Linked DNA regions of Macaca mulatta. The protein of the gene in region 2 interacts with the protein of the main gene of each other region in a pairwise test. Links are inferred from orthologs where the notes say so. Each region holds a gene or a part of one and is shown on either strand. Other genes may lie near its edges. The genes, in order: MICALL1 and EHD3.

What was found.
Region 1: the proteins of EHD3 (region 2) and MICALL1 interact in binary tests that used the Homo sapiens proteins (3 or more experiments, as listed by UniProt). The link is inferred for Macaca mulatta from reciprocal best matches to the Homo sapiens genes EHD3 and MICALL1.

What each region holds. Positions count from the first base shown.
Region 1 is NC_133415.1:13,578,853-13,582,658, reverse strand, and holds part of MICALL1 (MICAL-like protein 1), read left to right. Parts: intron 1-239; exon of another isoform or gene 240-671; coding exon 672-1,126; intron 1,127-3,324; coding exon 3,325-3,382; intron 3,383-3,806. UniProt on the Homo sapiens protein: Lipid-binding protein with higher affinity for phosphatidic acid, a lipid enriched in recycling endosome membranes. On endosome membranes, acts as a downstream effector of Rab proteins recruiting cytosolic proteins to regulate membrane tubulation.
Region 2 is NC_133418.1:93,692,110-93,696,355, forward strand, and holds the start of EHD3 (EH domain-containing protein 3), read right to left. Parts: upstream 2,924-4,246; 5' UTR 2,326-2,923; coding exon 2,099-2,325; intron 1-2,098. UniProt on the Homo sapiens protein: ATP- and membrane-binding protein that controls membrane reorganization/tubulation upon ATP hydrolysis. In vitro causes tubulation of endocytic membranes. Binding to phosphatidic acid induces its membrane tubulation activity.

The DNA.
Region 1 (3,806 bases), on a different chromosome or scaffold from region 2:
GCTCACGCCTGTAATCCCAACACTTTGGGAGGCGTAGGCAGGTGGATCACTTGAGGTTAGGAGTTTGAGACCAGCCTGGCCAACATGGTGAAACTCCGTCTGTACTAAAAATACCAAAAAAAATTAGCCAGGCATGGCGGCAGATGCCTGTAATCCCAGCTACTCGGAAGGCTGAGGCAGGAGAATCGCTTGAACCCGGTAGGCGGAGGTTGCAGTGAGCTGAGGTCGCACCATTGCACTCCAGCCTGGGCAACAAGAGTGAGACTCCATCTCAAAAAGAAAAAAAAAGAAAAAGAAAAGAAATCACAAAACACCACCTGATTGGGTAAAACCTACCGCTTTATTTTCCTGAGCCACTCCTGGATGCAGCCATTCACTGAATGCCACCTCTCGGGGGGACCTTTGCTTCTTCCTCTTGCAGCATAAACTGAAGGCATGTTTCACAACTTCTGTTGCTGATTTTGTGTGATTTTGTGATTTTATTGTTCCACTATGCTTCTGACAGTTACTGTTTTCTTTATCCTCTGAGAAGTCTAGAGTATGAATCCTGGAGCTTGGCTGGCAGTTGGGAGGAGGGAAGGGAGGAAACAGCCCTGGGTGCGGCTGGAGGGGTAACCAGTGGCTGGGCCTGGTTGCCTGGCTAAGTGAACCCCTGTCCTGTCCCGTGCTAGGTGTCGGCGGTGCTCCAGCACCCTGCTCCCTGGGGCTTATGAGAATGGGCCCGAGGAGGGCACCTTTGTGTGTGCAGAACACTGTGCGAGGCTGGGCCCGGGGACACGGTCAGGGACCAGGCCTGGGCCTTTCTCACAGCCAAAGCAGCAGCACCAGCAGCAACTCGCAGAAGATGCCAAGGATGTTCCAGGAGGCAGCCCCAGCTCCAGTGCTCCTGCAGGGGCTGAGGCCGACGGACCCAAGGCCAGCCCTGAGGCCCGGCCCCAGATCCCTACCAAACCCCGGGTTCCTGGCAAACCACAGGAGCTGGCTAGCACCCCTGCAGGCCGCCCCACCCCCGCCCCCAGGAAGGCCTCCGAGAGCATCGCCCCACCACCCCCCACGCCCCGGCCCCGCTCCAGTCTGCAGCAGGAGAACCTGGTGGAGCAGGCTGGCAGCAGCAGCCTCGTGAACGGTGAGCAGGGTGCAGTCGGGGCAGGGTGCACTGGGTGGCAGTGCACTACTGAAGTCTGTGTGTCTGGGATTGTTTGTCGGCCCCTCTCTGTCTGTGCTGCTGTGTACTGTGCTGTGTTGGGGACTGCCTGTGTTTTTGAGGTTGTTATTATTTATTTATTTATTTATTTTGAGACGGGAGTTTTGCTCTTGTCCCCCAGGCTGGAGTGCAGTGGCGCGATCTCGGCTCACTGCAACTTCCGCCTCCTGGGTTCAAGTGATTCTCCTGCCTCAGCCTCCCGAGTAGCTAGGATTACAGGCATGTGCCACCATGCCCGGCTAATTTTGTATTTTTTTTTTTTTTAGTAGAGATGGAGTAGAGACAGGGTTTCTCTATGTTGGTCAGGCTGGTCTTGAACTCCCTACCTTAGGTGATCTCCCTGCCTCGGCCCCTCAAAGTGCCGGGATTATAGGCGTGAGCCACGGCGTCCAACCTATTACTATTTTTGAGACGGAATCCCACTCTGTCACCAAGGCTGGAGTGCAGTGGCACAATCTTGACTCACTGCAACCTTCGCCTCCCGGGTTCAATCAGTTCTCCTGCCTCAGCCTCCTGAGTAGCTGGGATTACAGGCTACCACAGCCCAGCTAATTTTTGTATTTTTAGTAAAGATGAGGTTTCACCATGTTGGCCAGGCTGGTCTCGAATGCCCGACCTCAGGTGATCTGCCCACCTCAGCCTCTCAAAGTGCTGGGATTACAGGCATGAGCCACTGCACCCGGCTCTTACTTTTTACTTTTTTTTGAGATGGACTCTCACTCTGTCATCCAGGCTGGAGTGCAGTGGCACAATCTTGGCTCACTGCAACCTCTGCCTTCCAGGTTCAAGCGATTCTCCTGCCTCAGCCTCCCAAGTAGATGGGACTATAGGGCCACACCACCATGCCTGGCTAATTTTTGTATTTTTGGGTAGAAACGGGTTTTCATCATGTTGGCCAGGCTGGTCTCAAATTCCTGACTTCAGGTGATCCACCTGCCTTGGTCTCCCAAAGTGCTGGGATTATAGATGTGAGCCACCGTGCCTGGCCTGTTTCTGAGGTTATTAATTCCTGCCACAAATGCTGAGTTCCTGCGGCCTCTGCTGTGCTCTATTCTCCATGCTGGGACGGTGCAAAGGAAACAGACCCAGGCCCCACCCCTATGCTGCCTTCCTCTGCATGCGCTCTTTTGCATCTGTTTTTGTGGGCTTTAGTTTCAGGGTGGGTAGTAAGTGCCACTCCAAGTGTGCCTGTGTGTCCCCGAGGTCTCTGGGACTCTGCACACTGGTATCCTTCCTGTGTGTCCTGGCCCATCCACAGGCACACCGCAGGTGACCTCCAAGCCCAGCCTCTATGCTTGCCCATGTCTGGAAGGGGAGACCTCAGGGGCTTGGGGGAGAGCAGAGGGGTCAGGTGGGCCCCGGAGCCAGTGTGAGCTGCAGTGGAGACCCCTGGCTCATTCTGTGGGTGCATTCTCCCCCAGCCCCACATTGTGAAATGCTCCCAGATGACCTCCCCGGATTTCAGTGAGCTTGTAGGATTGAGACTCCTTGTATAAGGCTGCTGGGCAGCCCTTATCATTCCATTAGGGAAGGCATTGGTGGCCACGGGGTGAGAGACTCCCAGGGTCACCCTGCGACTTGCACCAGAACATTCTGTTTGTTCAGCTCTCATGGAGGCTGGATCTGAGCTGGCCGCTGGGGACACAGAATACTGTTCAGGCCTATCTGTGCCTTCAGGGCGCTCCCAGCGTTGAGGTGGAGACAGGCACAGAGGCACGGGTTTCAGTGGATTGTGGAAGTCTTGTGAAGTTGGAGGAGGGGAGCAGGGGCTGTTGTGGGATTCGTGGAGGACGCTCAGGAGTCCGGGACTTCCAGGAGGAGGTGGCTCCCGGGCTGAACTGAGATGATGTTTTCCGCCCACACTGGGGGGGTGTCTGAGGGGATTTGGGTTGCGTCTTCTCAAATGAAATGCAAATGGGATCTCAGGTGGCCTGGCCTTGACCCCTGACTGTTCTCAGCCACCTGGGTGCTTATCTAATTTCCAAGGGCTGGGCTGGGGAGGTGCGAGGGTGTAGGAGGAAGGCGGGGTGCTCCTGGGGAGGCAGCTACTGTGGCTGGCTCCCTGGGTGCCCACCTCCTGCTGCCCATGAAGGCCTGGCTCACTATCATTTCCCATGTAGGAAGACTGCACGAACCACCTGTCCCGAAGCCGAGGGGGACACCGAAGCCATCTGAGGGGTATGTTGATCCCTGAGGGGCGTTCCTGCTTCAGAGGCCCTGGTGGTGGGAATTGGGGTACTCTGGGGCCGGGTGGGAGAGAGGCTTCCTGTGGATGAGCAGCGTGGGGCTCAGGAGGGGAAGGAGAGCTGGGCCCACACCCCCTCTCCTGAGGCTCACCCTGGGATTCTTGCAGCCACTGCCCGGCCCCCTCCCCAGGTGCCTGGTCCTGTGGGCAGTACCCGGTGCAGGCAGCCACCTCTGGTTCCCGTCATCTCTCCAGGCTCCTTTGCCTGTAACGTGGGAGGCCTAGCCTTGATTATAGAGTTGATTTGAGGCTTAGCAGCAGAGTATAGAAAGACCTGGAAAAGCTCAGCTGTAGTACCTGTCCCTCAGGTCTTGCAGCACAGGACCCTGCTTCACGTGGCCGACATCTACTTCAGCT
Region 2 (4,246 bases):
GAATCATCTATGGCAATTTGACTCTGCCACTTTCTTAGACCCAGTTAACAGCCAGCGATGACTCAGGCAAAGCCGGTAGAGTGTCTCAGACAAAAGGCACTTAAACCTGTCTGCTGCTTGGGGATCCTCGCCTCTCCCCATCTTCCCTTCCATTCTGCAAAATGTCTGCTGGGAACCTCCTATAGCTGAGACCCTGGAAGAGGCCCCGGAGATGCTAAGGCATGGATGTTGTCTTGTCAGTGATCGTACTCCAGGAAGGAGAAGCTACAAATAATGTAGGAAAGGTTATAAATACCATATGTGCAGAGAGCCAGGGAAGGCTGAGAGGGCAAGGGCCATCTGCAAATGGCCTGTATTTCCCTTGAGGCATGAATGGGCCAAGTGGAGGCCAGGGCTCACAAAGGAAACCCTGCACACAACCCAGGCAGCTCTGAAGTGCCTTTGGCAGCAATGGGTGCTTAATAAAACAAGGGGCATGGCTTAGATCAGGGATTCCCACCCTGAAGTCCAAAGATGGCCCTTGCACTCCCAACATTATATGCAAATTTGGGATGCATGTACATTTTTCTAAAGATAGAAAGTTAAGAAGCAATGGATTAGATTAATCTCAAAGGCCTCTTGCAGTTCTATCAATACAAAACATACAAGAGCCAACAGGCCCATCTCCCAAACTCCTTCAGAAATCACTTGGCCTCTTAAAGCTGCTGAGCCCTAGGCTGTGTACTCCACAAGGACAAACTCAATGTGGTGTTGTGTTTAGACATCACCTATTAGCATGGTGCTACTTCCAGAAGGCTTGTGTTACAAGGTCGATGTTAGAGAAAATTAGTACCTAGAAAATTAGTAACTAGACTGTTAACTTTTCTGCTCTCCTCACCAAACAAAGCACAGCATTTCACATGCTGTGGATGCTCAGACAGCCAAGGAATAGGAACACGGGTACCCCTGCTTTCCAAACCCTCTGCAGGAGATGAGCACGCTTGACTTTGGGGGTCCACCAAACTCCATTCTCAGTCTGTGGGAGCCTGACTCTTAAGACAGAGGGCCACAGCATTCTCAACAGTTTGGAATGGCTGTAAAAGAGGCCAAGAAAAATGGCCGGCCTTGAAGTTGGGAGGATTGACGACTGGAGAGAAGCCTGTTATCTAAAGATAGGAAGGGCCTCTGGTGGACCTCTCTGAATGCAGGGTGAACAAATTGACTTCTTGAGCTTCTCTCCAGCCCATGGATTCTGTAACTGAAGGGAATGGATGACTCACTCTCAGAGTTACAGGCGTTTAGCCAACCATCTCCTCACATGCATCTAGGACTTAGATCCCAGGTCTGCTGCCCACTCTTTAGATGGCTCTGCACAATTCATTTAACTTCTCTGTGCCTCAGTTATCTCACCTGCAAAGTCAGGAACTGGATGAGACAATGCCAATATCCCTTCCACCTCTAAGAGTCTTTAATATTATTATCGAGCCATTAAGATCAAATAAGAGAAAAGAAAAAAAAAAAACATTCTGCTTCTGGACTCCGTCGAGTCTCCAAGATACATATATACACAGGAGCTCTGCTTTAGAGAAGGAAATGATAAAAGAAGGACAAGTAGCATCCCCAGGCCACCTCCGTCCCCAGGCCTGCACCCATCAGAACTCAGCTGCAACTGTGAGGCCCCCAAGTGAGTGCCAAGCCCCTTGAAAAGCAAGGGAAGAGGTTTTGCCCGAAATGATGTGTTTCTAAAAAGTGAAGATGCAAGACATCCCCACCAGCATGAGGCGCTCCAGAGACCAGGAGCTCTTCCATTGTGCCTCCTGGGGCTCGATTTCATCATCCATAAGATGGGGAGACCAGGAATGGCTTTACACTTGAATACTTCAGGTTGACCACTAGAGCCAAGGGCCAAGTAGAGTGTACAGGTATTGGGTAGCATGGGAAGGGGGACCAGCAAAAATTATGGGGTAAGATTTTGACGCCTGCACACACACATATATCTTCAGAGCCCTCAACTGAAGGCTTCCCATTGGTCCCCTGTCAGGAGTGGAGCACCAGGAGTGACCGGAGGGACTAGGTGCTGGGCTCCGGGGTGGGCTGCCGGGACCCTGGGCCGGCTCACCTGATGAAGGTGGTCTTCCCAGTGGAGTACTGGCCCACCAGCAGAACCATGGGCTTGTTGTCGAAGTCGGCATCCTCCAGGGCGGGCGAGTGGAACTCGTGGAAGCGGTAATGCTCTTCCAAGGGCAGCAGCTTGCTCTTGTAGAGTTTCTTGAGCCCCTCACTCACCGTCTGGAAAACCTCGGGGTCCTTCCTCCGGCGGTCGTCCGTACCCAGCCAGCTGAACATCGCGGCCGCCGCTCGTCCCCGGCACGCAGCCCCAGGGGAAGACTCCTCCTCAGGGAAAGATGTCCCGTAGGACCGGTCCACCGGGCTCCGAGCCGCGCCGCCGCCTCACCCAAGCGCGGAGCTCAGCCGCACCATGGCCCGGGCACGCGGCTAGGAGGGCCGGGAGCGCACTCTCCCTGCTCCTGGGACCAAGTCCGGCCGCCGCTGCATCCAGCAGCCCAGGCCGGAGGGAGGATTAATGATCTGGGCTAGAGGAGGAGGGGTGCAATCTTGGAAATTAAAGTCGAACCTGCAAGGAAACTGCCAGATGCCGGGGTCCCCGATCGGCCCCCAGCCCTTGCCTGCTCTGCCCTGCGTGCAGCAAGGGATGCTTCGGCTCCGCTCCTGCCGGACCGAGGCGGCTCAGGGGAGGCGGCGACGCTGCCCAGCCCGCGGACAGCTCCGCATCCGCAGCAGCATCCTGCAGCCCCAGGCGCTGGTTTAAATGCCAGCTGGGCAGGAAGCCGGAGCGCGGAGGAAGTCCCCGAGTACTGGCAAGGCAGGGCCGGCCCCACGGTCCCGGCGACGGGAAGCCGCGCAGGGCGCCGCCATGTTTGTGGGCAGGCGCTCCGCTCCAGACCTGCGGCCGCGCGGGTAGAGGGATGCTGACCCAGTCCCGGGGGAGAGCGCCGATGTCTCAGTCTCCGCCTCTGGGGCTTCGATTTGGGAACAGCGCCCTCTCAGGGACGGCTGCGAGGACAGAGTTGACCTGTTCATCACCCTCCCTGCATTGAATCGCCTCTCCTTCGGTTGCTGAGGTCAATTCCCTAGGAAAACAGGTACTCTACTATTTGGGATTTTTTTTTTTTTTTTTTGGCATAGAAAGAAGGATCCGCTATCAGGTTCCACAAAATGACCAAAACTGTCACTACCCAAACTTTTAGCTAGGCTTAGGGTGAAGTCATAATCGTTCCCTTTTATTTATTCGTTCATTCCAGCAAAACAAAACAAGCCAACAAGCAAAATCCCTGCAAGTATTGGGCATTTATTATGGGGCAGATACAATTTTGGTGACTGTGGATACAGAGATGAGTGCTGAACAGACTCTTCCTTCCAGGAACTCCAGTGAAGGCAGGCTTTAAAGAGGAGGCATGAGCAGAGGGCCATGGGAATACAGGGAGGATTCACTCCTTTTGTGTGGCTAATTTGAGGAATGCTTCACGGAAAGCATGACTGTAAGCTGGATCCTAAATGATGAATTGACATTCATTATTCTAGCAGCATAAGGAGCATTTGCAAAGGCTTGAGGAACATGGGAGAACTTGGTGTGTCTAAGGCAGAGTAAACTGTTTGGCATAGCTGGAGTGTAGGGTTTAGGAAGGTGGAAGAGAGTGAGGGAGGCCAAGCATGGAAGGCTTTGCCAGAGATGAGGAACCAATAACAATGCTATTACTAATCATTGTTACATTAACAAAATGCTCAGCATGTACAGGGGCCTGGGCTGAGTTCTCAGTGAACATTGCTTTATTTAACCTTCATAGCAGATCATATTATCTCCGGCATCACACCAAGGAGAGTGAGTGGGAACACCGTTCAGGTGTAGGCAAAAGCAGTGCATTGTGTGTAGAGAATTTAAACCCAGTAATAAACTGGCTGAAAGTTGATGTGCTTTGTATTGGCACCATTCTAAACAGTATAGTGAGAAAACACTCTTCCCTGCCCAGGCTGATGGCTCCCACTACCCTCCCTTTCACAGATGAAGAAGGAGGAGGTTATGGACCAGGCAGGGACTGGAATGCCAAGAGCAGTGTCGGGGGCAGGGACTGGAGGAGCAAGAGGTTGGAGATTGATATGGTTTTGCTCTGTGTCCCCACATAAATCTCATCTCTAATTGTAATCCCCGTAATCCCCACGTGTCTAGGGACAGAGCTGGTGGGAGGAG